Struthio camelus: one gene and its partners. The protein of the gene in region 2 binds, or shares a complex with, the protein of the main gene of each other region. Links are inferred from orthologs where the notes say so. Each region holds a gene or a part of one and is shown on either strand. Other genes may lie near its edges. The genes, in order: CRIPT, DHX16, SNRPD3 and SF3B5.

Region 1 (7,951 bases), on a different chromosome or scaffold from region 2:
CATACTGTCAAATGAAAAACTATAAAATTATTTTTTAAAAGAGCTGTTTGCTACAACGCATAAAAAAACCTACAGCATTTATTTCTAGTCTATTTTCATGCAGACACTAGTCTAAGTAAACACCATTATACTAAATAAGCATTTTATTTGGATAACACTACATAGCTCTCTAGGAAATACGTGCAAGCTGTCACAGCAAAAATGTCAAAACAAGACAACTTCTACTTTCTATGCCATAATTACATTGAAGTAACACTAAGATTCAGACTAGGAAAGAAATAAATTGACATGTATTCAAAATCTAACTGGGCACAAAGGGACACTGCTGTCAAACATTTGTTACTTATTTCCAGATGCAAAATTCCAGACAGGACTAAGTGAATCAATAAGAATTTCTTTTGGCTAAAAGACTCAATGTCGTAATTAAATTCTTACAAGGTGTCACTTCTGTTACTCTATTCACTCCTTAAACTGAAAATAAAAAACTAGCATAACTGACTTGAGCGAGCACTCAACACATTTTTCCGTAAGCTGAAAACTGATATACTACCAAGGCCAACACATTAAGCTATTATAAAAAGACTATTTTTGGCCTTCTTTATACAAGTTGAAATCCGAAGTAACTCCTTAGGTCAGCAGGATTTTACAACTTTTTACTTTCATTGAGATTAGATTTCACTCTTGGGACACATTACAACGACACTAATACTAACATCATATTATTAGAACCTCAAGCAAACGCGGGGCTTTTTTTATGTTTCAGAGTCCCAGTGTTTCAACAGTCCTGTTATCTCTGCTGCCTTTTTTCACCCATTAGATAGAATACTTCTGAAAAATGCATTATCCTTGATATGTGCCTATATTATGGCTTTCACCAACTAAAAAAGGCTCATTTTACTTTAAACATACTCTTAAAAAAAAAAATGCTAGAAAATTGACACCGAAAACAGCTTTTTCAGAAATTTGAAAAAGAGTATGGATAAGGATTACATGCTTAAGACCGCAGAAAATTACATATTATTTTTACAATTATATTCAGGTTAAAGATAACACCAGAATAATGTTTGTTTTGTCTTGCTATTTCTACTTTAAAAGCTGCGCTTATGAGGATACTCTCAGATCATGTGCAGTCATGCTCCCTTCAGCGTTTACTCACAGATCTCTTCTGTATTTGACAGTTATCATACTAGCATGCACAACGGTTTGACAACAGTCAAATAGCGCATTTGAAGGTTTTTGTCTTTCAAATGCAAATAAAGAAAGATTTAAACTCTGGCCACCAGAAATAAAAAGCCAGTTTTTTAAATCAGTTACACCTTCAAAATAGATAATAGTTTTCTTTGCCAGAAAAACTTTCACAAGCCCTTAATTATGAAAGTGAAAATGACCCATAATTCAGGATGTTTTATTTGCTTTACAAGAAACTCCATGATATATTGTTTATGACAACTCTATTTCTATTATGGGAAAAAAATGGAGAAAATTTAAAGTAGAACTTACCCATTTTTACTAAATACCCGTATCCATGCTTGAATGTTTGGTCCCAGCACACACAAGCATTGTAAAGTAGTAAAAGTAGATAGCAGAACTGCAAACAAAAATGTCTCAGTCACTGACCTACAAAGAAGGAACACAATAAAATTAACTGAGGCACAATTGGTGATTTTCTAAGAGTTCCAAGAACTAGGAAAAAAACTCAAAATCATCTAGAAAGCATGCATTTTTCTTAAATTCATGTAAAGAAAAAAAAAGTTTTTCTTCTTACTCTGTAGAAGAGAAAAGAAAGATGGAAAGAATTCTAACATCCATTCGTTACCTCAACAAAATCTGAAATGTAGCAGCTTATTTTAAATGTCCGATACCTGTAACATTTTAACAAATACAGCGATATCTTACACAGAAGGTTACTACTTTCTAACTGAAGTACACTTGGATATTTACTTTATCATTCCATTTATCTTTCTAGTTTGACTTAGTGGAAGCAACCATGAAACCAAGCCACATGATGTCACCGCTATTCAGTAATTTAGCGCCTCTCAAAAATCAGTTAGGAGAGATGTGAGGCAGCCTTTTGGGTTTTTTTTTGTTTTTTTTTTTTTTTCCAAACCACCCTTAACAATTAAAATACTAATATGAAAAGGATGAAAGCTATAGGAGATGCACGTTTCAGAAACTTAATGGAAAAATGACTAAATGAAACATGGAAAATGTTTGCAACCATATATATGACATACAAGTATAAAATATGTCTATATTTGTACATCTCCAAATATATAGAAATTTTAAGGGCTAGCTTCTACGAAAAATAGCCACTCTTCGCCCAGCCAGGAGGTTATCCTTTAACTCCCAATGTACCAGGAAATACTCAAGTACTTATACCAATATCTGCAAGAAGAACTGCCACTTAAAGAGTTTAGAGGAAAAAAGGTTCTTCCGACTTACTCTATGAGAGGTGCTCCATAAAGAACAATAATCGCATGAAATAGTATGCAAGACATGAAAAAGTACATACAGCATTTTAGAAATCTGGATATCTAAAAAAGAGCAATAACATATCAGAATAATGTTTCAAAAGAAAAGAGAACAATGAGCAATGTATATAGTCAATATCTTATCAGTAGCATCTCACTGTACCCACTTCCTTAGATATTTAATTTCAACTATAGCACAGTATGATTATACGCTCCTGTATTTCCAGACCGCTTTCCCTATGTTTAATACTTCAAATCATTAATTAAAAAACATAACATGAACACACTCCAATCTAAAAATCTTTTCATATATCATACTATTATACAAACATACAAAAAATAACTGGAAATAACAAGATAAATGGAAAAAGTTCTAGGGCATGTTTTTATGTTTACGTGTTACATTTCAGCATTATACCCATTTGTTAAAAAGCATCTTTCGCAGAACGTGCAAAAATATTTAGGAAGATGCAATATACATACATGATATTCAGAATGAAATATAGTATTTAAAACTACATGACATAAAACGTATTGCATTTTGAAACTGCCATCTTAAAATCTAAATCCATTTGAGAAACATCCATGACCTTCTAAACCTACAAAACGCATATAGTTTTCTATGAATCAAAGCAACAGTTTCTGGGTACCCACTATTATATCAAAATAGAGCCACTTGATAAAGTGTCACAGTTTCACCTGAACACTTTTTTTTTTTTTTGGGGGGGGGGGGGAGGGAGGGAAGGGAGAGATATTCCTGTGCTAGTTGGGATGAAACCTCACCTAAAACTTGAAGCCTGCTTTGTTTTTTAAATTATATATGGTTAAAATGCTTGTTTTCCATGATTTAGTGGATTTCATGCCCTGCTCTGTCAGTAAAAGTAGATAGAAGTTTCATAGGAAAAGTTACTGCTTTCAAGGATGTTTAGCTTGCACAACTATTTAAGAACGACCGTTTAAGAGCATTAAATTTTGTCTGACTCAGCAAGTTGGGAGGACAAGACTATCCAGCTGACTTGTGAATGCCTTTCTATTCCACCACTCCCAGGGAAGTTGGGTGCCGCTCCAAATTTGCTCTGTTCAGAGGTATTTTCTTGGAATTCATATCTTTAATGCTTCTGTTACAAATGTTAACTATAAAAATTTATCACAGATTTAAATTCTTCTGTGTGCAGATGTATTCGTTCAAGGAAAGGTAGTCACTTCAGTGCTTTTCCACCTCATCTTCTAAAATCTACCAACTTAGTTTAAAATTTAATGAGCTCTTTGTTTTCTTTTTCATCAGTCAAAAGTTTAAGAAAAGTTTTTCTTCCTTTAGAATTATTAGTAACTTCTAACTACTCAGAAGAAAAGTGTCTTTTCATAACACTGGGATTCAGGCCCAGATTATGAAATGAGTTCTGTACCCATTCAGGGATTCGCCCTGATTTTTGCCAGCAGGTAAGCTCTTGGAGGATCAAGGACGCCACAGTATACAAGCCACAGTATACTGACACGAAAAGGCAAGGAATCACTCACCTGAACAGACTATTTACAGGTAGAGAAAATTTAACACTGTGAAAATATCAGAAAACTTACTTCTCAGCTCATTCATGGAAAACAAGATTTCACCACCTAAAATTGTAACTTGCTTTCTCTTTCACGCTTGACTATTTCAGTAAAAGAATTCAACCTCCCATCAGTACTGCCTGGTAGCAATTTAAGAATAAAAATCTTACCTTGTGAGCAAATGAACTTCTCTTAGGAGACAGATTTGGTTTAAGGATTAAATATAAGATTATATTAAGGGCACTAATGGAAACAGAACAAACGCACAGCCAGGTGAGGTGCGTTCCCAAAACCGAGAAGTTGTCCAGGAAGAAGGCTGGGACGGTTGTTGTTAGAATAACTGAAAAAACACAGAGCAGGTTGGCAGCTAGGAGCCTCTTTATTTCTGCTTCTTTCATTGTGTTCTCTGTTAACCAGTCACCTGCAAGAAAGCAAGCTGTGCTTAGTTACTGAAAGACAGCCAGAAGCACTAGCCAGCAGTATTTTTCCCTAGCTGAAACACACAAGGCAAAACTCTGAACTTAGTTTGGGGCCGAAGAGGATTACTTTGTGGCAGAAGTTTCATTCGTTCATTTAAAAAAAAAAAGGGGGGGGGGGAACACGCAGCAATGCTGTCCTTCAACAGGCTGCCCACATTCAAAAGCTGGGCGGGCTGCGGGCTCGCCCGCCCCGGGCACCCCTCCTGCGCGGCCCGAAGCGGCACGTCTCAGGCCACGGCTCCCGCAGCAGCAGCCGCCCCCAGCTCTCCCCCGCGGGCCGCCCCGCCGCCCCGCGCCGGACCGGGCCGGGCCTGGGCCGCCTCACCCCGCCGCGCTCGGCAGCCGCGAGCCCAACGGTCGGGGGGGGGGAGGGGAAGGAGAGAAGACATGGGAGCCCGTTGGGGCGGCCCTAGGGAGCCGAGGAGCGCGAGCCGCGCCCGCTCTTACCGGCGCGTCGCCCCGCCGCGGCGCAACGGAAGACCCGGCGGGCGCGTCACGTCCGGGGGGCGGGGCCGGAAGCGGCCGTTTGTTGTGGTCGGGGTCCGCCATGGTGTGCGAGAAGTGTGAGCGGGGCCGGGGCCGGGGCCGGGGCCGGGGCCGGGGCCGGGGCCGGGGCCGGGGGGGGTCACTCGGTCGGTCGGTGGGTCGCGGGGCGGTGGCTGGGCCGCCGGCAGGCGGGGCTGGTTGCCGGCGTTAACGCAAACCAACTTGAGCTTTTTCCCTCCGCGCGCGTGTTTCCTCACGTAGGCGAGAAAAAACTGGGCACGGTAATTACTCCTGATACGTGGAAGGATGGCGCAAGGAACACCACAGGTACTTCTGCTTTCCGGGGGGCTTTAACGCTTCTCGTTCAGATGTCTTAAAGCCCCTTGGGCACCTGTATCGTCGTTCAATTCTAAGGCTGAGGATTGTAATAGCTGTTCTGTTGGGTTTGTTTTTAACTGTTGTAGTTTCCTTAGCGTGCTAATTCCATCCTCTGGGCGTTTACTTGCCCTGAACTTTTCAGGGCTGGATCTGTCTGGGTTCTCCCCCGACCCATGTGGAGTGACGATACCCAAGCAGAAGATAATGTAAGGGGTTCTGTCGTCCTGTGCTTTAGTCCTGTGTTATACGCTGTGCTTTTCTTTCTGATTTCATTTACAGAAGTGTAAAACTTCTAAGCTAAGCTTTTTCCCAAACCTGATCGAAACTGGGAAATCTACCATCTTTATTTTTCTTTCTGTAGAAAGTGGGGGCCGAAAACTGAATGAAAACAAGGCTTTGACTTCAAAGAAGGCAAGGTTAGTATTTAATCCTGATTTTGATTGTCTAAAAAGGTCATTTTCCTGTAACCAGGACCTGTTTCCTGCACAACTGGGCAGCTTCTCAAACCATGTCCAAAATGGACTTTGTTTTTAAAATTCTTAATGGGGGTTGCGGCATGCTATTAGTTGGTAACAGTATGTTTGTACATATTTCATGGGTGCTTTCTGCTGAATCAAAAATATATTTCAGTGCTCACTAAAACTGAGTGTTAAGTTTGATATTCGTATTAGAAGAGAAGCTGGAAAGACGTACTCTCTTGCTAAGACCACCTGTACGGTCTCTTCAGCGTATTTAATATTTGCAGGCCCTTTTATTACCTTCTGCAAGGTTTATTTTATCCTCTGTAGAGAGGGCAAGCCATTGCTGGAAGACATTTAGTTCAAAATAGTCTAGCATCTTAATGAAAAGGCACGTTGTGTTTTCATAATGCAGGAAACCTCTCTTTGTAAGGTAGCGAGGGGTCTTTCTGTAGACTTTGAGTGCAACCTGTTTGAAACAATCTTTGTATGTCCCTTTTCTAAATCATAGTTTCTGTTTGTGGTCTCTGGCTTAGACTTTTTAGGATGAGGTAGCGGAACTACTTTACTTCGTGGTGTATAAATACAGTATATTTCCTTTCTCTCTTTCCTCAGGTTTGATCCTTATGGAAAGAACAAATTTGCAATATGTCGGATTTGTAAGAGTTCTGTCCATCAGCCAGGGTCTCACTACTGTCAAGGATGTGCCTATAAAAAAGGTGAGATTCACTGGATACTGAGTTAGCCCAGTTTGGTTTGAAAGTAGTGAGCAAACGCAACTCAGGGTTTGTTTGGCCTTACAATGAGAAGGCTAAGGGGAGATCTAATTGCTATCTCCAGCTACTAATGGGAGGGTGTAGAGAAGTTGAAGGTAGCTTTTCTCTGAGGTGCACAGTGATAGAATAAGAGACAGTGGACAGAAGTGAGAATGGAGGAGATTTAAATGAAACATAAGGAAAAAACTTTCACTGTGAGGGTGGTCAGATATTGCAACATGGACTCAGGTTGTTTTCTACAAAAGTAGAAAACCTGGGAAATAAAAGGCAAAGAGACAAACAGATGCTGTTGTAAAAAGAGCTAATAAAGTGCCTTTCAAGGCAAACGGGCTTCTTGCATTGTGAGAGAAGCTTGGCTTAAGTTGCAACTGAAAATCAAAAAGTAAGAATAAAACCTTTATGTTTAGAAAGCAAGATATTGCCCAGTGTAGTATATAACATACAAAATCTTTCTGTACTTCTAAATCATGTATGAACAGCTGCACTGAAATTCTGCTTCTGTCTTGAGGTTTTCAGTCTCCTGTATTCACAACAAGCCTTTAGGGTTGTTGAAAATTGTTTTTTGTTTTCTCAATGAACTGTTGAACAATTTCAAGCAACTGTGAGGTAAAAGTTGAGCCTTAAGGATATACAACTTTTACCAGTCTTGTGAATTTGAGTAGGTAAGCAAAATGGAGGCCTAAGCTTGTAATTGCCTGAGGAAAAAGCAGCAGCATATGAACTCAGTTATATTACTAATTTTGGAAAATCCACACAGCACAGACATGGGCTAAACCAATTGTTAGCTGTAGAGGCACATCTAGTCGGTATGAGTTTAAATGTTGTTTATGAAATGACATTAATTCTTTCACAACTGGGCGGCGCGTCAGTGGTTTAGCAGCCTGCCGTAGAGCTGCTATTTTTTCTGTTTTCTGGGTGCTCACCAGGTGGCTGCCAGAATCCCACATGAGGGAACCTTATGCTTTCTTAAATTTATAGTTGATTTGGGTGAGCTTGAGGACTTTTTTGTCTGCTCGTGTACCTTTCCAGGTAGAAATGGATTTCTTCATAAAAGACGGAGCTTCAGCTGCTTTAAGTTCTAGCTCTGACCATCAAAGAGAATGGATATGGCATGTTTCTTGAAACAGGTGTGGTCGTATGGATTAGTGCTTCAGTTGCTGCGCGTCTCTGAAAGCTAGAGACTATTCAATGTTCCAAAGTTAACTACGCCTCTACTTAGACCTGGGGTGAACAGCCTGTGGGATGGATTTTGCACTCTAGAGTAAATCATGTGGTATTTTCCCTGCTGTTGTCTGTCCTAATAGACTCTTAGATGAGTGTCCAGTATCATGATGTCAATATATGAAAGCACATGA
Region 2 (7,789 bases):
CTGTCACCTCCTGGACCTCATCCCTCATCCCCTGTCACCTGCTGGACCTCATCCCTCGTCCTCACCTCCTGGACCCCAATCCTTGTCCCCTCGTCCCCTGTCACCTCCTGGACCTCATCCCTCATCCCCTGTCACCTGCTGGACCTCATCCCTCGTCCTCACCTCCTGGACCCCAATCCTTGTCCCTTGTCCCCTGTCACCTCCTGGACCTCATCCCTCAACCCCATCACCTCCTGGACCCCCATCTTTGTCCCCTGTCACCTCCTGGACCTCATCCCTCATCCCCTGTCACCTGCTGGACCTCATCCCTCGTCCTCACCTGCTGGACCCCCATCCTTGTCCCCTGTCACCTGCTGGACCTCATCCCTCGTCCTCACCTCCTGGACCCCCATCCTTGTCCCTTGTCCCCTGTCACCTCCTGGACCTCATCCCTCGACCCTGTCACCTCCTGGACCCCCATCCTTGTCCCCTGTCACCTCCTGGACCTCATCCCTCATCCCCTGTCACCTGCTGGACCTCATCCCTCGTCCTCACCTGCTGGACCCCCATCCTTGTCCCCTGTCACCTGCTGGACCTCATCCCTCGTCCTCACTTCCTGGACCCCCATCCTTGTCCCTTGTCCCCTGTCACCTCCTGGACCTCATCCCTCGACCCCGTCACCTTCTGGACCCCCATCCTTGTCCCCATCCCTTTCCACCATCCCTTCCCCCCCCCGTCCCACCCCCAGATGCCTGGGTCCCCTCAGCTTGAAGGGGGGGGGTGAGAGCAGGGCCGGGGAGGGGGGAGGTTGGGCACCCGGACGCCTGGGCCCTCGCCGCCGCTTCCGTTCCCGGCTCCCGCCCGCCCGGAGGAAGCTGGTGGCCGTTACCCGGCCCGGACGCCTGGGCCCCTCGCCCCACGCCGCAGCCGGGTGGTTGGAGTGGAGTTGGGGGGGGGGGGGGTTGGGGCCGGACGCCTGGGCCCCTCTGCAGCCGTGGGGCGGGTGGAGCGGGGTGAGGGGGGGGGCACCCTGCTCCCCCCCCATAGCACCCAGAATCCTCTGGGGTGCCCCGAAAACAGGAACTTGGGGGGGGAAGGGGGGCAGGAAGCGGTTCCTGCGGGGGGGGGTGGGCGGGGCTGCCCGGACGCCTGGGCCCCCTGCTTCCCCGCCCCTCCCCCACCACCCTGCACTCGTCGGGGCCGCGTGACCCCCTCCCCCGCTCGTTAATAGGCTCCCGTTAATTGCGATTAAGCCAGGGAGGTGGATTAATTGCTATGGGAACCCCAGGCCGTGGTCCGGGATGGGGGGGGGGACACTGGGGGCATCACGTTGTCACCTTGCCGGCAGCGTCCCCGTGCCTGGGGGGTCCTCATGCCACCCCCAAGATGCCCCCATGGTGTCTCCATCCCCAGGGTGTCCCCATGGTGTCCCTGTGCCCGGTGTGTCCCCCCCCCATCCCCATGGTGTCTCTGTGCCCAGGGTGTCCCCATGCCACCCTCAAGATGTCCCCACAGTGCCTCCATCCCCATAGTGTCTTGTCCCCATGGTGTCTCCATCCCCAGGGTGTCCCCATGCCACCCTCAAGATGTCCCCACAGTGTCTCCATCCCCATAGTGTCTTGTCCCCATGGTGTCTCCATCCCCAGGGTGTCCCCATGCCACCCTCAAGATGTCCCCACGGTGCCTCCATCCCCATAGTGTCTCGTCCCCATGGTGTCTCCATCCCCAGGGTGTCCCCATGCCACCCTCAAGATGTCCCCACGGTGCCTCCATCCCCATAGTGTCTCGTCCCCATGGTGTCTCCATCCCTAGGATGTCCCCATCCCCAGGGTGTCCCCATGGTGTCCCCTGAGATGTCCCCAAGGTGTTTCCATGCCCATGGTGTCCCCATGCCACCCCCTGGAGATGTCCCCATGGTGTCCCCATGCCACCCCCTGGAGATGTCCCCATGGTGTCTCCATGCCCATGGTGTCCCCATGCCACCCCCTGGAGATGTCCCCATGGTGTCCCCATGCCACCCCCTGAGATGTCCCCATGGTGCCTCCATGCCCATGATGTCCACATGCCACCCCCCGAGATGTCCCCACAGTGTCCCTGTGCCCGGGGTCTCCCCATGCCACCCCCCATGATGTCCCCCCGCCCGCGGTGCCCCCACCCCCACGTCACCCCCCCCATGTTCCCCCCCACCCCGGGCAGCTGAAGATCTGGTTCAGCGAGCGGGAGCTGGAGCGCACCTTCTGCTACCCCTCGGAGGGGGCGGCCATGGCGGCCTGGGGGCCCCCCGAGGAGCCGCCCGCCCCGGGCCCCCCCCCGGCACCCGACGACGACGACGAGGACGACGAGCCCCCCCCGGGCCGCGGGCTGCCTGGGGGGCTGCGCGCCCGCACCCTGCTCGTCGGTGAGTGGTTCCCCCCACCCCGGACACCTGGGTCCCCCCGGGTGGGGGGGGGGTGGACCCATGGGTCCTGGGGGGGGGGAGTAGAGGTCCTGGGGGGGCAATAGGGGCCTTATGGGGGGCAATAGGGGTCCTGGGGGGGCAATAAGGGCCTTGGGGGGGCAATAGGGGTCTGAGTAGGGGCAATTGGGGTCCTGGAGGGGGAATAAGGGCCTAATGGGGGGCAATAGGGGTCCTGGGGGGGGGCAATAACGGCCTTGGGGGGGCAATAGGGGTCCAGGTAGGGGCAATTGGGGTCCTGGGGGGGAGAATAGGGGTCCTTGAGGGGATAATAAGGGCCTTGGAGAGGGTGATAGGGGTCCTGGGGGGCAATAAGGGCCTTGTGGGGGGCAATGGGGGTCCTGGGGGGGCAATAGGGGTCCTTGGGGTGGCAGTAAGGGCTTGGAGGGGGCAATAAGGGCCTTATGGGGGGCAATAGGGATCCTGGGGGGGCAATAAGGGCCTTGGAGGGGCAATAGGGGTCCGGGTAGGGGCAATTGGGGTCTTGGGGGGGGGAATAGCGGTCTGGGGGGGCAATAAGGGCCTTGTGGGGGGCAATGGGGGCCCTGGGGGGGAATAGGGGTCCTGAGGGGGGTAATAAGGGCCTTGGGGGGGGGCGATAGGGGTCCGGGTAGGGGCAATTGGGGTCCTGGGGGGGGAATAGGGGCCTTGGAGGGACAATAAGGGCCTTGGGGGGGCAATAGGGGTCCTGGGAGGAACAGTAGGGGTCCTGGGGGGGCAATAGGGGTTGGGTGGGGGACAGAGCATGGGTGCAGGGGGGTCTTGGCCGCCAGGGTCCTGACACCCCCCCCCGTTTCCCCCCCCACCAGACGAGTCCTGCCGGCGGTAACCCGGGGGCTGGGGGGGCTGGGACCCCCCCGGCGAAGTGGGGGCCGGACCCGAACCGTGACCCACCCCCCCCCCGGTGGGGCAGGACGGGGGGGGGCGGCAGCGGGGGGGGGCACGAGGACGCTGTTCCCCCCCCCACCCTGGTCCCTGGAGCGGGGGGGGTGTTTGGGTGTGGGGGGGGGCACAGCTTTACCCCCCCCCCCCATTTTGTAGCTTTTTCTAGCAGCTGGGGGGGGATGTTCCTTAACGAGGTTTTTTTTTACCTAATTAAGGATTTTTTTTTGTTTTTTTAGCTGGGGGGGGGGTCAAATTTGTCAGTATTGGGCCGCCGGCAGCTGTCCCAGTTAGGAACTGGGATGGGTCCAGTTGCAGCTGGGTTTTGGCGGGGGGGGGGGGCGCACAGCCAAGGCAGTATTAGCTGGGGGGTGGGGCTAAAGGCAGGGGGCGGGGCTTCGGGATCTGTGGGCGGGGCTGTGGGGGTGGAGAGGCGGGACTTCCTGTCGGGGGCAGCAGAGGAGAGTGGGGCCGGGCGTGGGGCCGGCGGCCATGACAGCGGGGAGGAGGCCTAGGCCGCAGCCCTGGGCCTGCTCCTGTCGCCATGGCGACGCAGCCCTGGGCCTGTCTTGTCACCGTGGCAACGCAGCCCTGGGCCTGCTCCTGTTGCCATGGCGACGCAGCCCTGGGCCTCTGTCATCGCCATGGCGACGCAGCCCTGGGCCTGTCTTGTCACCGTGGTGACGCAGCCCTGGGCCTGTCTTGTCACCGTGGCGACGCAGCCCTGGGCCTGTTCTTGTTGCCATGGAGACGCAGCCCTGGGCCTGCTCCCGTCGCCATTGCAACGCAGCCCTGGGCCTGTCCTGTCACCCTGACAACAGAGTCCTGGGCTTGTCACGTCGCCATGGTGACACAGCCCTGGGCTTGTCTCGTCGCCATGGCGACGCAGCCCTCGGCGTGTCCCGTCGCCATGGCGACCGGGGCGGGGCCGCCGACTTTGACGCGCTGTAACGGGAAGAGCGACAATAAAACAAAATGGCGACCTGCACTGCGTGAGCCGGTGCGAGCGGGTTTGGGGGGGGGGGCCGCGGGGGAGGAAAATGGCCGCCGTCCCGTAAATCCCCGTGTGGGCGTGCAGCCCAATAGCGAGCTGGCGGAGCGTGCGTGTGTGTTTGGCGGGAAGGGGCGGGGGGGGTCCCGAGCTGGGGAGCGTTGGGAGGGGGGATAAAGAGGCGGGAGGTGAGAAACGGCCGCGGGGAACGCCGGGGTTGGGGGGGGGGGGGAGCGGCGCGGCTACACGGGACATTACGGCGGCCTGAGGTTGGGGGGGGCGGTACTGAGGGGAGGCGGCGGGAGGCGGGCTGAGAGGGGCGGCGCCTGCGCAGAGCGAGGCGGGAGGCGGAGCTGAGGGAGGCGGCGCCTGCGCAGAGCGCGGCGGGAGGCGGGGCTGAGGGAGGCGGCGCCTGCGCAGAGCGCGGCGGGAGGCGGGGCGGCGGACTGCGCCTGCGCAGAGCGCGGCGGGAGGCGGGGCGAGGCGGCGTACGGCGGCCGGCGGGGGCCATGGCGGCGGCGGCGGGGCTGGAGCGCTGGGTGGCGGCGGAGCTGCAGGCGCTGCTGGGCCTCAGCGCCCGCCACGTACCCGCCTTCCTGGTGGCGCTGGCGCGGCGCAGCCGCAGCCTCGACGAGCTGCTCGAGCGCCTGCGCGAGACCGAGGCGCTGCGCGTGGAGGAGCCGCGCGTGCGCGCTTTCGCCCGGCAGCTGTGGGAGAAGGTGGGCGGGGCCTCCACGAGGGGGCGGGGCTGATGCAAGGCGGGAGCCAATGAGAAGAGGGAGGGCGGGGCTGGTGGCGCTCGGCTCCTCCCCCCGGGGAGGGGGCGGAGTCAGGATTGGTGAGGGGGCGGGGCCAAGATGGGGAGGGGGCGGGGGCTGTCATCAGGGAGCCAATGAGAAAAGAGGGCGGGGCCAGAATGGGAGAGGGGGTGGGCTCAGGATGGGAGGGGGCGGGGGCTGTCATCAGGGAGCCAATGAGAAAACAGGGGGGCGGGGCCAGGATGTGAGAGGGGGTGGGGGTCAGGGTGGGAGGGGCGGGGGCTGTCATCAGGGAGCCAATGAGAAAACGGGGGTGGGGCCAAGATGGGGAAGGGGTGGGGGCTGTCATCAGGGAGCCAATGAGAAAAGAGGGAGGCGGGGCCAGGATGTGAGAGGGGGTGGGGTCAGGATGGGAGGGGGTGGGGCTGTCATCAGGGAGCCAATGAGAAAACAGGGGGGTGGGGCCAGGGTGAGGGGCACTACTGGCACTGGAGGAGCCAATGAGAAGGGAGGGGGCGGGGCCAGGATTAGGAGGGGGCGGGACTGACACTAGAGGAACCAATGAGAAAAGAGGGGGGGTGGTGCCAGGATGGGGGCAGTGCTGGCACTGGAGGAGCCAATGAGAAGGGAGGGGGCGGGGCCAGGATGGGGGCAGTGCTGGCACTGGAGGAGCCAATGAGAAGGGAGGGGGTGGGGCCAGAATGAAGGGGAGGGGGCCGAGCTGGCAGAGGTGGGAGCCAATGGGAAGAGAGGAGGCGGGGCTTGCAGCACCCAGCTCCCTGGGGAGGGAGGCGGGCCCCCCCGGGAAGGGGCGGGGCCAGCAAGGGGAGGGGGTGTGGCATGTCAGGGGTGGGAGGAGCTAGAGGGGGGGGAGTGGATTGGGCCAAAGCGGCGGCCGGGCGGGACCGAGGGGAAGGGGGTGAAGGCAGGGAGGGGGGCGGGGCCAGGCCAAGCTGGGGGCGGGGCCAAGGCAAAGGGGTGTGGCTTAACCTCGCCCCGCCCCCTCTTCTCTTCCAGGTGCCCCGGGAGCCGCGGCCGGAGCCGCCGGGCCGAGCGGCCGAGCGGGCGGCCCGGGAGCTGCAGCGCCGCAACCAGGGCTACCGGCTCCTCGAGAGCGACGACGAGGACGAGGACAAGGACCAGCGGGGCGGCGGCCATGGCCCCGGCCCCGCCCCCTCACCCGGCCCCGCCCCGCCGTCCCCCCCAAACCGCCGCCGCCGCCACCTCCGCCGCCGCCGCCCCGACTCCCCGGAGTCGGCCAGCCCGTCCCCGCCGCCGCCGCCGTGAGTAGCCCTCCCTTCCCCCCATTTTTGGGGACCCCCCACCCCCCCGGACCCTTTTGGGGGGGTATCACCCATTTCACAGTCCCCCCCCCAGCTCTTGGGGGGGTCCCCCTGGCTCTTGGGGTCCCCCTGGCTCTTGGGGGCCCCTGATTTTTGGGAGCTCCCCTGATCCTTGGGGTCCTCCCTCATTTTTTGGCTCCCCCCCACCCAATTTCAGGGACCCCCCCCCCCCACTGGGGTGCTCCCACTGCTCTCAGGACCCTCCCCAAGTTTTGGGGTCCCCCTCCCCTCACCCTTGGGCTTCCTCCAGCTCTCAGGGTCCCCCCTCTCGCCCTTGGGGTTGCCCCTGGCTTTCAAGACCCCCCCCCACCAGTTTTGGGCATCCCACCTCGCTCTTGGGGTCCCCTACATTTTTTGGGGTCCCCTGTTTGATTTTGGCCCCCCCCAGACTCTCACAGCCCCCTCCCACCCGTGTCCCAGCAGCCCCCAATTTCTCAGCCCCTCACCCTTCTCTTATTTTGGGGGCTCTCCCTTATTTTTGCACGCCACCACGCTTTGGGGTCTCTCCTCCACCGTTTTTTTCGGGGTCCCCCCCCCCACCTCACTGCAGGCCGCCGGAGCCCCCCGAGGAGCCGGAGGCCGAATGGGAGGCGTCGGAGCGGGAGCGCCTGCGGGACCTGGAGGAGCGCGACGCCTTCGCCGAGCGCCTGCGCCGCCGCGACCGCGACCGCACGCGCACCGTCCTCGCCCGCCCCGACGCCAAGGTGCCCGGCGGGGTTTTTTGGGGGGTCCTGGGGGTGGATTGGCATCGTTAGTGGGGAACGTTGGGGGTCTCTTGGGGAGGATTTGATGTCCCTGGTGGAGGATTTTGGGTCCCTGGGGGGATTGGGAGTCCTTGCCAGGTTTGTGGGGAGTTTCCTGAATGGGATTTGGGGTCCTTGGGTGGGGTTTGAGGGACCTGGGTGGGATTTGAGGTCCTTACCAGGTTCCTGGAGGCTCTTGGATGGGATTTGGGGGATTTGGTTGGGTTTTGAGAGACCTGGTTGGGATTTGAGGTCCTTGCCAGGTTCCTAGAGGCTCCGGGATGGGATCTGGGGGCTCTGGTTGGGATTTGGGGGCCTTGGGTGGGATTTGAGGTCCTCACCAGGTTCTTGAAGGCTTCTGGATGGGATCTGGGGGCCCTGGATGGGGTTTGGAGGCCCTATCTGGCTCCTGGAGGTCTTTGGGTGGGGTATGAGGGTTGCGGATGGGATCTGGAGTCTCTGCTGGGCTCCTGGGGGTCTTTGGATTGGACTGGGGAAGACCTATGTACGATCTGGGGTCCTTGGTGGACTCCTGGGGGTCCCCAGCTGGGATTTGGTGTCCCTGCCTGGCTCCTGGAGGTCCCTGGATGGGATTTGGGAGTCCTTGGGTGGGATTAGGCATCCCTGGTGGGGATTTG
Region 3 (6,859 bases), on a different chromosome or scaffold from region 2:
TTTACAGCAACTGTGGTTAATGCTCAGTAACACAGCAAAGCTTTTATAGCATGATACACAGGGCTCACTTTTAACACTGCGTGCTGTTTCCCAGTGAATAGGAATGCTAACCTGGTTTTTGTAGCCCTTGTCCACGCCAAGTGTCTGGGTGCAAAATTTATGCTTAACACCAAAGTGTCGCATAAGGTAAGCCAGGTCAATGGTCCAGATACTCTTTGTTAACCGGAGTTCCTGGATCGCTTTCTGAAATTCATCATTGTCCAAATGATTCAGGTACCTAGGGTATTAGAAAAGGTAGGGGAAGGGAAACACAGATCTTAGGAGAAGCAAAGTGTGCGCAGTAGCCCAAGACTCCACATCACAGGACGGAAGAACTGAAACAACGGGACTGGCTAAGAAATAACCAAAAAGCAACCCACAAATGAGCCCAAAATTAAAGGAAGGGAAGGGAATAAGGAATATTTAACTGGCTTTATTGTTGACTTTTTTATTGGAAATGTACAGGTATCTCAATTGTTTTATAGTGCTAAAAGTATACAGGATGCTGTACAATAGGTAAGCTATAGTGAGCAAGGGCAGAACTCTATTCTGAAGGGGTTACAGTCTGAATATACATAGCAACATAACAGCAAGCACAGGAGCGTTAAAGACTAAAACTTGCTTCACAGAACAGGTGGATTTCAAAAGTAGGAACTGTAAAGGCAGTTGATAAATAGTCAAAGGAATTTTCTTAGGCACTGATGGTGCAAAGGGCAGATAAGGTTAGGAGGAAGCTTAGGTCAGGTTGCAAAAGGGCTAGGGAGAGGCAGTTACAGAGAATTCTGGAAGTCAGAAAACAGATGGAAATAAATGCAAAAAAGAAAAAGACTGGAACTGAGGAAGCAGGGCAAACAAGGTCAGATCAGCAGGGTAAGAAGATTAATCTTGAAAGCTGAGTTTTGGGCAGACTGGAATGGCAACGAGGGTAAAGGGAATGAAGAGGCAGAGGTTACAGTAGTCAAGATGGGAAATTACCAGCACACGGACTAACGTCTTGGCAGTAGGGATGGAGAGAAATGAAAATCTTCTGCTTCATATCTACTAAGTGGACATCTAAATAGGTATTTCTCCTGCACCTAAGCTCATGTTCCTCTGTGGAAGGAAAGAGGAGTTCAGCAGGACAGCTACTAGTTTAAAGAAAAAAAAAAAAAAAAGGGCAATACAGTGCATAGCCTTGAAGTTGAAACTACTCCTGGAACAGAAACCCTTCACCCTACAGAGTGGGGGCTCAACAGGACAGGGGCAATATATATTCATAAATACGGGATAAACCTACCAGCCACTTGAAAACACGCAGAATGGAAGTAAGAGAATTGCTGTGGTAAAAGCTAGTTCCAAATTATAACAGAAAAGAGGGATAACTTTTACTAGCTTAAGCATGCTAACCTGCAAAGATCTTAGTGCTAGTCAGATATTTTGCATCAATCAAAGCAGTTAATCATTTAAAAAGTCTTAAAATTTGTCCTAGTTTGTATTTTCCCTTGCTCTTGCTGGAGAGCTGTGCTAGACCCTGGCAGCAGTAATCCTCCAAAGGTACTTGAGACTATATGCTCTCACGATACTGAAGTTAAATTCACAGCTGCTTCCACATATCCTTTCTCCCTGGACATTGATTTCCGACTTCCCATGGGATGGGATTTCCAACCCCTTGAAGCCAAAAAAGTTACTTACTGTAGTACCATCCTGGAGCAGGCTAGCCCACAGTCCCAGTGGTACAGCTGCTGGATGACTGGCACTTTCAACTGGATGCAGTCAACTGCAGTGAAAACAACACTTAGTAAAACATGGAGGATGTCAACCCGCATATACATGTTTTTCCGTACCTCAGCATTCAAAGCCAATTTGCTGTCTTGCAGGTACACTCAGCACTATAGTGGGGGAAACTTAGGAACATTTTTTATTTTACCTGATTGGCAGGTCCTTTTTCCTAAGGGGATGTAGGTTTGTTTGGTATTTCTGTAGAGTTAACCCTCACGTGTCTGGTTTAATGTCATATTATTGTTACATATTTGGATCACTGTGCAGTATTTTATTCTTTTTTGTGGTGGTGACACATCCACCAGCCCCTAGTTACAAAGCTGTATCCCCTCCTAACTAGCAGTAGATAAGGCACAGCTATTCATCCTTTGTCATGTGTCCAAAACAGTCTCTGAATGTACTTCTGTGCCACAAAAGGTGTTCAGCCAGACTGTGATAAAACAGACACAACAAAGATCTCCTCCAGCCACCTCTCTCTCACAAGCCCCACAGAGCTGAGCCTTTTCTACAGATGTGTCTTTTTTCCTCAGGGACTATAATTTATGTGAGTAATTTTAAGTTACCGAACCTTACAAATGACACTAGTTGGCCTTTCGTGTTATATTCTCTCAAGGTTTCAGAAAAAGAAAGAAGAAAAATCTCTACTGGAAAGTCCATAATTCCATCTTTCTTCCTCATTTTTCATTTTTATAGGCTTGGGGCAAGTGTGATGGTTTCAGTCTCAGAAGACCCATTATCGTTTGAATTTGAATGACTTAGTGTTTTTGCAGGTGTTACTGTTATTTCAACCTTAATCAGAGTAAGCTAGTCTTAAAGGGCTTTTCTCAATCCCTTCACTTTTGACTAGAAAAGACCTTTGAAAGCTGTTAACACAAGGTCAACTACACTTCGGCATGAAGATAAAAATGCATTCCACATCATGTGGACTGGTCTAGTTTTGATAAAATTTTATTTGTAAAACTTTATAAGTAATGTCATTCGTAACAATAATTTTGTATTATTTCCTAACAAAGCTATAGCCTACAGTAGGCACAAGCCAATATAGATATTTTGGACTCTTCAAAAATATTTTTTCGTAGTTGTGCCCGTGTTTAATCGTGACTTCGAAGACCAGGTATACCTGCTGGTATATTCAGTTGTCTTTGTTAATCTAGATTAAGGTGCTCTTACGTAAGTCTCCTAAAGGGAAAACAAAAAGTCCCAGATCCTCCTCGGACTACCCTCTTTAAATCTTTATTGTTGGTTCTTCCCGGCGTGTCATGAGTCAGTTCCCTCTTCGTTCCTACCTAGGGCCTCTGCCAGCTCCCCAGGTTAATTTAAGAAGTAACGCTGTTTTCTGCCTGATGACTTCACAGACCGACAACGGCTCGTGCTTTTCCAGTTCTCCCGGGTGTCCAGCTCCCGGCCCCGCGGCCTCTCCCGGCGGGGCCTCCCCGCTGCCCCGAGGCGGCCGCCCGCGCCCCCGCCCGCGGCCGCCCCGCCGGCTCCGCGCCTCCGGCCGCCCCGCCAGCGCCGCCGCCAGCGCGCGAGGCCCCGGCTCCCGCTCCCGCTCCCGCTCCGCCGCCCGCGCTCAGCGCCCCGCCGGGGCCGGGGTGGGCGCGGGGGGCGGCCGGGCCTCGGGGCAGCAGGGGCGCACTGACCTGGCAGCGGCTCCCCGGCCTCCCGCGGGCTCTTCATGGCGGCGACGGCGGCGGCACCCGCCGCCCGCCCGCTCGCTGCCGGCCCCGCCGAGCCGGCCCGGCCCAGGGGCCCGCCGTGCCTCGGCGCCGCGCTGGCTCCGCCCGGCCCCGGCGCCGGGGGCGGGGGCTGCGGGGGCGGGGGGCCGGGCCCCGGGGCGCCGCGCCCTCGCCGCGGCGGGGCCGGCTGCGGCCGGGCGGCGGGGGCATGGCGCGGCGCGGCTCGGCGCGGCTCGCCGGGCGGGCAGCGCCCGCGGCGGCGGCGGCCCCTCTGCGGGCGCGGGCGGCGGCGGAACCGTCGTGCCGGGGCGCCGCGGCCCGGCCGGCCCCGCGCGCCGGAGGCGCCGCCTGCCCTGCCGGGGCGGGGCGGGGCGGGGCGGGCCGGACGGGACGGGGAGGAGCCTCCCGGCGAGCGCCGCTTTCCGCTTCCGGCGCGCGGGGCACGGCGGGAAGCTGGAGGAGGCCATTAGGGGCTGCGCGCGGGCCCGGCTTGAGGCGGTTGCGGGCGGTGAGTGGTGGTGGGCGCCGGGCCGGCCCCGGGGCCTCTTGGCTATGGCTGGCGACGAGGCCGCGGGCCCGGGGCGCCGTCCGGGCCCGGGCCGCCTCCTTCCCCCCTCGTGGTAGTGCCCGCTGCCCTGGCGCGGGACCCGTGGGCCCGGCCCGGCCCGGCTGCCGCGCTGCTGCCGCCGGGCCGCGCTTGCGAGCGGCCCCGGTGCCGCCGCCGCCCCTGCCTGCGCCGGCGGTTCGGTGTCCTCCAGCTGGGGAGCGGGTTTCCTTTCCCTTTCCTAGCAGGGAACCCGTAGGCAGCCACTTCCACTGATATTTAAGTGATTTTTTTTTTTCCCATAGCCCTCTTTCTAGAGGAGCTTTGTTAACGTTTCATCAAAACTTGTGGTGTTTCTGGGCAAGGGGGAACCCCCCTTCCCCCCCCCCCCCCCCCGTTTCTTACGCTTGAAAAGATCATAGGTAATGTAGGGAGAACCTAATTTCAAAGACCGTTTCCTTTGCTTTTCCTTGTCCCAGGGGTAGAGCCGCAGCTCTGCAGACATGTCGATCGGCGTGCCCATCAAAGTCCTGCACGAGGCGGAAGGCCACATCGTCACATGTGAGACCAACACAGGAGAAGTCTATCGGGGCAAGCTTATCGAAGCTGAAGACAACATGAACTGTCAGGTATAGCTGCCTCTGGTGGAGGGAAGGGAGGCTGTCTCGTCTGTGCCAGGAAAGGTTGATAGCTAGCTTATTTGTGTTTTGATTTAAAGACTATTATTTTTAGTCTAAGGATTAAAAAAAAAAAAAACCCTGCTGCTGCATGCCTACGTTGTAGTGAAGTGGACTCAGGATTGCTGAATGCTCTAAAGAGCGCAGAGTTTGTTCTTTTAGGGTTTAAAGCAGGCCTGGGAAGTCTTGTCAATAGCATTAGGGTTTTTTAAGACTTTGTTCTATGGACAGTGTTTCTACTGGAGTCTTTCATTTTATTGCTCTGGGCTTAAGATTAAACAAACCCTTATTTGAGGAAACTGAAGGGGTTTTTTGTGTTTTTTTTAATGCACATGACTTCAGGCATCCCAAGCGGGCTTAATTTTGGTTGACTTTGGATAGAAATCATGTTGTCTTAAGTATTAAGGAAGCATTTTTATTTGAACAAGTAAAGCTTTTTTAAAAGTGACTTAATGTGAGAAAACAGAACTGAGTTGTGTTTTTCTAAGAGTTTGTTCTGGCTCATACTGGGGTGAAGATAAAAACGCTGGGCCTGCTTGACTAATAGGCTTAGCATTATGTGCGAAAGGTCCTGGATACCTTGTGTCACAATGCCAGTCAAGATGACAGTACTTGGAAGGTTCTTGGCTTTGGTACTTGAATCTTGGCTCTGTGTTTGTTTGCACTGTTTTGTAAGTAAACTATGCAATTTTTCTGCTCTGTTGCTGTATTTTGCTTATGTGTATTCCTCTAAATCAGTTGCATACTGTATATTGTGATTAGCCAAAGAAAATCAGATGTAACTTACTCTGATTGTGTAACAAAGAAGCATACAAACACAAGTGAGATAAAAATTGCATGTACAGTAGTGTCTTTTTTATTAGAATAATCATGGTTAATGTGCTTTTGGTTTTTTTTGTGCCTGCGTAGTTGGTATTCTGCTGATGCAAGCCTGTCAACTTGCTGCAACTTCTGAAAAGCTTCCATTGGCTCTAAAAATCTCAAAACGGACCTAGAAAGGCTTTCTGTTGAAACGACTAGTACTTGACCCAGATAGTTTTTACTCGGAGGAGTCTGAGTCAGAATAGTGAAAGCAAGAGAAACGGGAATACTGAATTGTGTTGGAGGCCTCTGTAAGCACTGACTGATCTTTTACCTTCCAGATGTCCAACATAACAGTGACGTACAGAGATGGACGAGTGGCACAGCTTGAACAGGTGTACATCAGAGGTAGCAAGATACGGTTTCTCATTTTACCAGATATGTTGAAGAATGCTCCTATGTTAAAGAGCATGAAGAATAAAAACCAGGGTTCTGGTGCTGGGCGAGGAAAAGCAGCTATTCTCAAAGCTCAAGGTGGGTACTCCTTGTTTGTGGACCTCCCTCCTTCCTTGCCTTTAGCGTTTTGCTATGGAGGAACAGGAAAATGTTCACCTATATCATTGAGGAAACAAACAACATAAGCAGAATGATTAGTGGTTCATATATTGTTGGGGTTTTTTTTCCTCCTATGTATTTTTTCTTCAGTGGGTGTCAAGACTCAAATTTCCCAATTATCAAAATGAGCAATACTGATATGTGAAGATAATTTACACGTAGCAAGTAGTCCTGGTAGAGTTATACTGAGGCTTTACATTCATCTTCATTTTGGTGTTTTTCAGTGAATGTGGTCACTGGCTGTTTGGACCACTTGGAAAAGGAGCTAAGTGTTCTTCTTAAGCTTTTGTGGAAAAAATGATTCAGATATTAAGATAATACTTGGGAAGTTGTAACTACTAGCCACTCTACAGTTCTCCCTCATTAGCACTTCTCTTATGTGAGCAGTGTAGTTATAACAAGTTTGAGTAATACTCGTGGGCTGCAAAGTCCTTCGTTAACTTTAGCAAGTGTAGTGAGTGTGCGTGGGGGAGTAACACCTGCTGGAACATATTGAGTTCTGTTGCAAAATCTTAGTGTGAGGTTTTAAACATCAGTGAAATCTCTGGCACAGCAACTCTACCATGATAGAAATCTCCTGTGGTAGAGATTTGTGCGTCAGATTGGAATGAACACAGAATGTATTAATAGTTCATTCTCATCTCTGTATATACTGTGTTTCAAGTGCAAGACTGTGTAACAATTCGTCCTGGTTCTTCTCACAGAACGCTTTTTTTTTTTTTTTTGTGGTAAATCACCTTCTGAACTTT
Region 4 (5,968 bases), on a different chromosome or scaffold from region 2:
TTTTTTCACCATTAAATTATTTTTGTAAGATAAATAAATATAGCAAAGAATAGAGGAATTTCTGAAAAAAATGACATCCCCCTCTTCTCCACCTTCTCATCTCCATCTTATCACACACATTCTGTGTGTATGTTGCATTTATATATGAAAATTATTCCATTCCCTTGTTTTGTGGTATTTATGCCTAAGTGTGAATAATGCGGTCTATTGAAGAAACAGGGTGTTATTCATGCCTACTACAGAAAGACTAGGGCAAAATTTAAAAACTCAGGTATATCTTGAAGTGGACAGTCACCATCACTCACTTTGTTGGTTCAGCTGCCTCACCACTATTTCCCTTAACTTTGCAGTAGCAGCCAAGCACTAACGTTTTAGAGGTAATTGAGTTCATGCAGGGTCCAATTCTGACATCCAGTGGCAACTGCTATTCATTGCATGCATCCAATCTCCTGTTTTCCCGAGCATTTGACGCTTGGTTTGAAATGATTTGGCTTTCATTTCCAGATAGAGTATTTCAGCATGTAAGTAAATACATTTATGAAATTTCCATATGTAAACATCAGTTGTTTCAGACACTAATTATTTATCAACATATAATGACTTCAGAGACCAAGACAAATACACAATATTTTGATAATTATATTTGATAATATTCAGTAGAAAAAACTTGAAATATCCTAGAATACTAAATTATTGAGAAATATTAAGCACACACGCTGGTTACATCTCAGTGATAATTCTCTCTATATCCCTCTACATCTATGCATGCATGCATACATACATATATCCCCCTACTCGGCCCTGTAATTTTCTAAGCTTCTGATCGTAAAAATGTAAGTACCTAGCTCCAGCAATCTGCTTTGCACAGGATCTGCCTAACAAGAAAACCATAGCCTTACAATAGATTTTATTTTTCGGTGGAAGAAGAAATGAAGATTAACTGAGTATAATTTAATGCAATCCTTCAAAACCAGGAGCTGAAACTCTGTATTTTTCACATGAAACTTACATTTAGGCAACTGCTTATATAGAATTTTAACTTGCCTGTTAACTAGTAATTTTATTATCTATTCTTTCTTCCTAGTGTTGGCTAGCTTGTCCTGTTTTCCAATGTGTTTTTGAACAAAGCCAACGTACTATGTAGTTTTTGCCCACTTTTTCCCAGGGTTCTAAATGTCTGAATTCAGTGTTCTGGTCTGGCCCACTATCAATCTTGCTGCAAACTTCAGGACGAAACTTCCCTTTTCGGATGTTTGTTTTGAACTAGAATTCTAACGTTTGCTTGGTTTAGTTTAACTATTACTTTTACAAACTCCTGCAGTAGCTGCAAGAAATGGACATGCTTCCGGGCATCTTTTCTATTCTGAAGACTGACTGATGATTTTAATCAATAAATCTCCCAGCTTAGAGCATCAAAGATGGCAATCGGAAAGGAACTCTGAGATCAGCCCTACGTGTCATTGTGTTGTCCCTGAATACCTATCAAAAGTTAGTGCCCCAATACAGCCCTGCTCTTTATAAAGGTACCATTTTACAAAGAAATGAAAGCTTTCCTATAGCCAGAAAATGTCCTTCTCTGTCCTTCCCTCAGCATCTGGCACATCCCTTCACTACAAAACAGGTTTCTCTCAAACATTCCAAAGTAGTTTATTCTAGCAAAATAAAACAACATTTTGCTTTTGCCTGACAAAGATCATCCCTATTCACCCTCCATAACCACATACACAGTCTCTGTGTATTAAACTGCAGTGTTTTAAACTGCAGTACTTGTAGGATTAAGGTTGAGGCTGTAATGAGAATGAAGACATTTTAAAACAAGTTGTAAACCACAAAATCATGTTAAAAAAATAAACATTTTTTGATGAAACTGGAGACTTTCAAATATTTGAAAGTTTGGAGCAGACTTCTGAAAGAGGAGCTATCTGCTCCTCTTAGGTAGTGGAGTCTCCTTCCCTGGAGATATTCAAAACCCGTCTGGATGTGATCCTGGGCAATATGCTCTAGAGGTCCCTGCCTGAGCAGGGAGGTTGGACTAGATGATCTCCAGAGGTCCCTTCCAACCTCAACGATTCTGTGATTCTGTGATTCTGCTACCTCTAAATGTAATTCTTTTCTCATGTATATTACATCATCTCTCTGAAGTCTTGATGAGTATCTGAATGGTTCAGTCTCTCTAGTTCTGTTGGTATCTTAAGTGCTTACTGCGCTTTCCACAGAATTCTTTCATTTGCTTAACCTCAGTTTTTCTTCAGGAAAATTAAACCAATTTGCTTCCTCTCAGCCCTGCTGTGTGCTAGCCTCTAAATGCATACCTCACTTCTTATTCTCTGTTACTTCAGTGAGTTACCTCCGTGATGCACTTTGATCTGTAAAATCTGGAAATCAAGTAAAGTTTGTCCTAATGTTGTCAAGCTCCCAAATCTGAAATGCCTCTGCATTTTCCTGCAGGAGATTTTTTTTTTCTCTTGGTCTCTCTGGAGGCAACTACAGAATACTATTGCTGTTTCCACGTGTGTAAAACTGCTTCCTGCTAAGTAAGCCTTGAGAACAATAACTCAGCAGATCCTAGTAAAGAAATTTATAGTCCTCATTTAGATCTTTGCACTCCCTTACACTTTAGGATATTGCTTTGAGACTGCTGTGTCCTTCATTTCATATGGTGCTCAATTTTAAATACAGGGTTTTGAATCGTCTAGGTTTTCATAAAACATTTCTTTGGATTTCCTTTGAAATCCAACTGGCAGGTGTAAAGGTGCCTACAAGGGCAGGAAGGAACAGATCACAAAATAGCCTGCCCTATTGGAAAATTTCTGACAACGTGCCTTTCCTATCTTAAGACAAGTAATTATAACTATTACTATCATATGAAAGCATATATAATTTCAGACATTTCAAATTTAACATTATGTGAACGCTTTAAGAGAGATGGAGAAGAAAAACTGCTTTTGATGGATAATATTTATTTCAAGCTGTAGTTTGACTAAGATAGACAATACCATTTGTAATTTCTGTATTTTTACATCTGCTTGTGAAGTGAATATTAAAGTATTACCTGTGCTGTCACAAAAATCTTGTTCAACAGCAGCACGTAATTTTGGCTTGAATCTACCCTCGACCCTGCTCAGCTGCAAAGCCTACCTGGGAAGAACTAGGCAAGAACTCTGCACTGCGCCAAGAAAATGGTGTGAAACCTATAGTAGTTTTTCTCAGTTCATGTAACAGAACTAACCTTACCAAACACTTATTTTGGGAGGACCCTCAAATTCTGTGCATTTTTAAAAGTCTTTCTCTATATGGAGTCCCTACATGAGACCTACCACAAAAAGTGCTGTGCTATGTTTTAATTGAGTAAAGAGCTAATGAAAAAGAGAGTTTTGGCTTGCTCTTGGCTCCTCATGGCTATTTTTGTTGTAGCTTGTCTCTTCCAAGTCAGTCTTCCTGTATCACTTGCTTAGAAAGCAAAAAAGAGATGCAATTTTACAGAGAGAAACTGTGCCCTACAGCACTAGCTTTAAGAACCACTTCACTGGTTTTGCTTTCCTGTTTCCTAAAGTCTCCTGACAAATAAAGACTTTCTAGTTTTGTTCCCAAAAACCTATTACTGAGATATTTTATAGTCAGATTTTATAGAGTTTTGCTTATCTGATTCTCCGATAGGTGAACTAAGGAATAACTACAATATCAAAGCTACGCAGCCTGGTATCTGGCTTGAGAATAGGAGATCCTCAAGCATGTATTTTCCAAACACTGATGTATTACAGATCTTGGCCTGGAGCTCTATAATTTGGCTTACTACTAGATTATTCAATTAAAGTAATTAAAACAGCAGTAAATGATTTCATTACACAGTGTATTAATATTTAATTATTTCAGAGGCTAAAATTTATCCCAGCTTTGACTAGAATTCTTCAAGGAATCTACCTAACCGAACATTTGTTGAAATTTGAGGCTTCAGTCATTCCCTTTAAGTGATACGCTATTACACCAGGTAGCTAATGGCTCGATGGATTTCAGATAACTTTAGGAGACTTTTTAACTCCCTCACCACCTCAGGGCTTGCCTTGCCTTCTGCTGCTTAATTTAGATTCCAGGGAGTAAACTAAGAAGCTCTGCAAAACCCTCTCCTTTTCCTCCCTTATTTAAATGCTTCCGCTACGAAAGCAACTTTACCGCTCGAATTTCTGCACGTATCTGACGCAGTATTGACGCCCAAATGCACGCGATATTCATTCACTACTGCCCGGAGGGGTTATCAGCCCGTGCAGCCAGCCCGCTGGGAAACCACCGCACTGCCGCAGGCGCCGCTCCGCCGCCTCCGAGGGCCGCCGGGCCGCGCCGGGCTCCGCCCCGCCCCGCCCCGCCGCCGGGCCCGCCCCGCTGCCGCCGCCCCGTGCGGGCGGGGACCCGGCGCACTACAGCTCCCAGCATGCCTTGGCGGGCGTGCGCACGCGCACTTCCTTCCGTCGGTAGGCGCCCTCCCATCATGCCCCGCGGCACGAAAGTAAATAGCTAGCTGGAGGGTTTTTTTTTTCCCCCCCCCTGCTTAAAGCAAACGCTAGAGTAAGAAATGAACGCTTGAGACTCAAAGAGTAAGCTAAAAAAGTAGCTTTTCTCCTGTAGTGAGGGAGAGCGGAAGGGGTAAAGGGCGCGAGGGAACGTCACTTCCGCTCGCCATTTCGCGCTGCGGGGAGGCTCGGGGCTCGCTGCGTTCTTGCCGCCGGTGCCGCCATGACGGACCGTTACACCATCCACAGCCAGCTGGAGCACCTGCAGTCCAAGTACATCGGGACGGGCCATGCCGACACCACGAAGTGGGAGTGGCTGGTGAACCAGCACCGGGACTCGTACTGCTCCTACATGGGCCACTTCGACCTGCTCAACTACTTCGCCATCGCCGAGAACGAGAGCAAGGCGCGCGTGCGCTTCAACCTCATGGAGAAGATGCTGCAGCCCTGCGGGCCGCCTGCCGACAAGCCCGACGAGTCTTAACCCGCCCCACCAGGCTCCCTGCCCTGGGGTCGGCCGCCGCCTGGCCCCGGGGAGGAGGGGAGCGGGGTCGGCGGAGGCCCCGAGGCACCGCGCGGTGGGTGCGCCTTCGCCGGAGCGAGCGGGAGGTGCGTGAAGGCCCTTCCCTTTTTGCGGGGTGCGGTAGGTCTCCGAGCAAGACTCCGCTGAAATCTCTTGCCTGTGAACTATGAGAACGAGGCCGGCACCGCTGAACTGTGATTGCTCCTGTGGAGAGAGACCGTAGGAGCTGCTCCTGTAACCGCCTCTCAGTGCAGTGGGGAACGCATGGGTCTCCTGTCCTTCAGTGCTCGTGGTCCTTTTGTGTCCTTATTATGTTGCATCAAAGGACTTTCACAGGGACCGCTTTTGTAACATGTCTACTTTTGGACAGCTTCATTTCTCTTAATTGTATAACTTTTTTTTTTTAATGTGGAATTAAAACGTACTGGGCATTTTTAATGTTTCGTCTGCTAATATGCTGATTAGAATTAGATCTCTTGTTTGAAAGGCAGTGCTTATTGATATGTTAAATATTTCCATGCAACCTTTCTTAATCTAAGTTTTAGATATTCTAAAGGTAGCATTTTCCTCAGCCTAGTTGGCTGATACCTGCTTACCAAAACAGTTTTAGGGAGGGTTGGGGGAAGCTTGCTGGCACTCAAAAGGCTTGACTTGTAATTAGCATTTATTATTTAGAGTGATTTGTTGCACAACATAAGATGATTGCTCCAGTGCCCTAAAACTCCAAAATGTCTTTGCTTTAAATAACTTTTTTACATTATCTTCTCATCTGTGCTTTGAATTTTCCAAATCTTGAATATCTCTGTTCCAAATTACTGTTGCTTTTTTACTAATGCTATCTAGGCCTCTAGTGCTAAAAACTTCTCTTAAGAGTACACTAATCAAGTGTGTGAATGTGGATGCTGAGCCCTGTAAACATGGACTAGGTGATGAGGCCAGG

The links.
Region 1: DHX16 (region 2) and CRIPT share a complex: the UniProt entries of both Homo sapiens proteins name them as parts of the minor spliceosome. The link is inferred for Struthio camelus from reciprocal best matches to the Homo sapiens genes DHX16 and CRIPT.
Region 3: DHX16 (region 2) and SNRPD3 share a complex: the UniProt entries of both Homo sapiens proteins name them as parts of the minor spliceosome. The link is inferred for Struthio camelus from reciprocal best matches to the Homo sapiens genes DHX16 and SNRPD3.
Region 4: DHX16 (region 2) and SF3B5 share a complex: the UniProt entries of both Homo sapiens proteins name them as parts of the minor spliceosome. The link is inferred for Struthio camelus from reciprocal best matches to the Homo sapiens genes DHX16 and SF3B5.

The regions. Positions count from the first base shown.
Region 1 is NC_090944.1:108,650,832-108,658,782, reverse strand, and holds the start of CRIPT (cysteine-rich PDZ-binding protein), read left to right. Parts: upstream 1-4,930; 5' UTR 4,931-5,045; coding exon 5,046-5,061; intron 5,062-5,245; coding exon 5,246-5,311; intron 5,312-5,723; coding exon 5,724-5,778; intron 5,779-6,435; coding exon 6,436-6,539; intron 6,540-7,951. Other genes in the region: PIGF (phosphatidylinositol-glycan biosynthesis class F protein), read right to left, coding at 1,501-1,617, 2,443-2,534, 4,190-4,440, 4,824-4,887. UniProt on the Homo sapiens protein: As a component of the minor spliceosome, involved in the splicing of U12-type introns in pre-mRNAs. Involved in the cytoskeletal anchoring of DLG4 in excitatory synapses.
Region 2 is NC_090977.1:685,535-693,323, forward strand, and holds the start of DHX16 (pre-mRNA-splicing factor ATP-dependent RNA helicase DHX16), read left to right. Parts: upstream 1-4,785; 5' UTR 4,786-4,816; coding exon 4,817-5,026; intron 5,027-6,082; coding exon 6,083-6,348; intron 6,349-6,958; coding exon 6,959-7,112; intron 7,113-7,789. Other genes in the region: PPP1R18 (phostensin), read left to right, coding at 2,176-2,377, 3,244-3,263. UniProt on the Homo sapiens protein: Required for pre-mRNA splicing as a component of the spliceosome. Contributes to pre-mRNA splicing after spliceosome formation and prior to the first transesterification reaction.
Region 3 is NC_090958.1:8,969,201-8,976,059, forward strand, and holds the start of SNRPD3 (small nuclear ribonucleoprotein Sm D3), read left to right. Parts: upstream 1-3,841; 5' UTR 3,842-3,981; intron 3,982-4,496; 5' UTR 4,497-4,520; coding exon 4,521-4,646; intron 4,647-5,836; coding exon 5,837-6,029; intron 6,030-6,859. Other genes in the region: protein GUCD1, read right to left, coding at 112-277, 1,711-1,795, 3,438-3,474. UniProt on the Homo sapiens protein: Plays a role in pre-mRNA splicing as a core component of the spliceosomal U1, U2, U4 and U5 small nuclear ribonucleoproteins (snRNPs), the building blocks of the spliceosome.
Region 4 is NC_090944.1:84,749,021-84,754,988, forward strand, and holds SF3B5 (splicing factor 3B subunit 5), read left to right. Parts: upstream 1-4,490; 5' UTR 4,491-4,728; coding exon 4,729-4,989; 3' UTR 4,990-5,466; downstream 5,467-5,968. UniProt on the Homo sapiens protein: Component of the 17S U2 SnRNP complex of the spliceosome, a large ribonucleoprotein complex that removes introns from transcribed pre-mRNAs.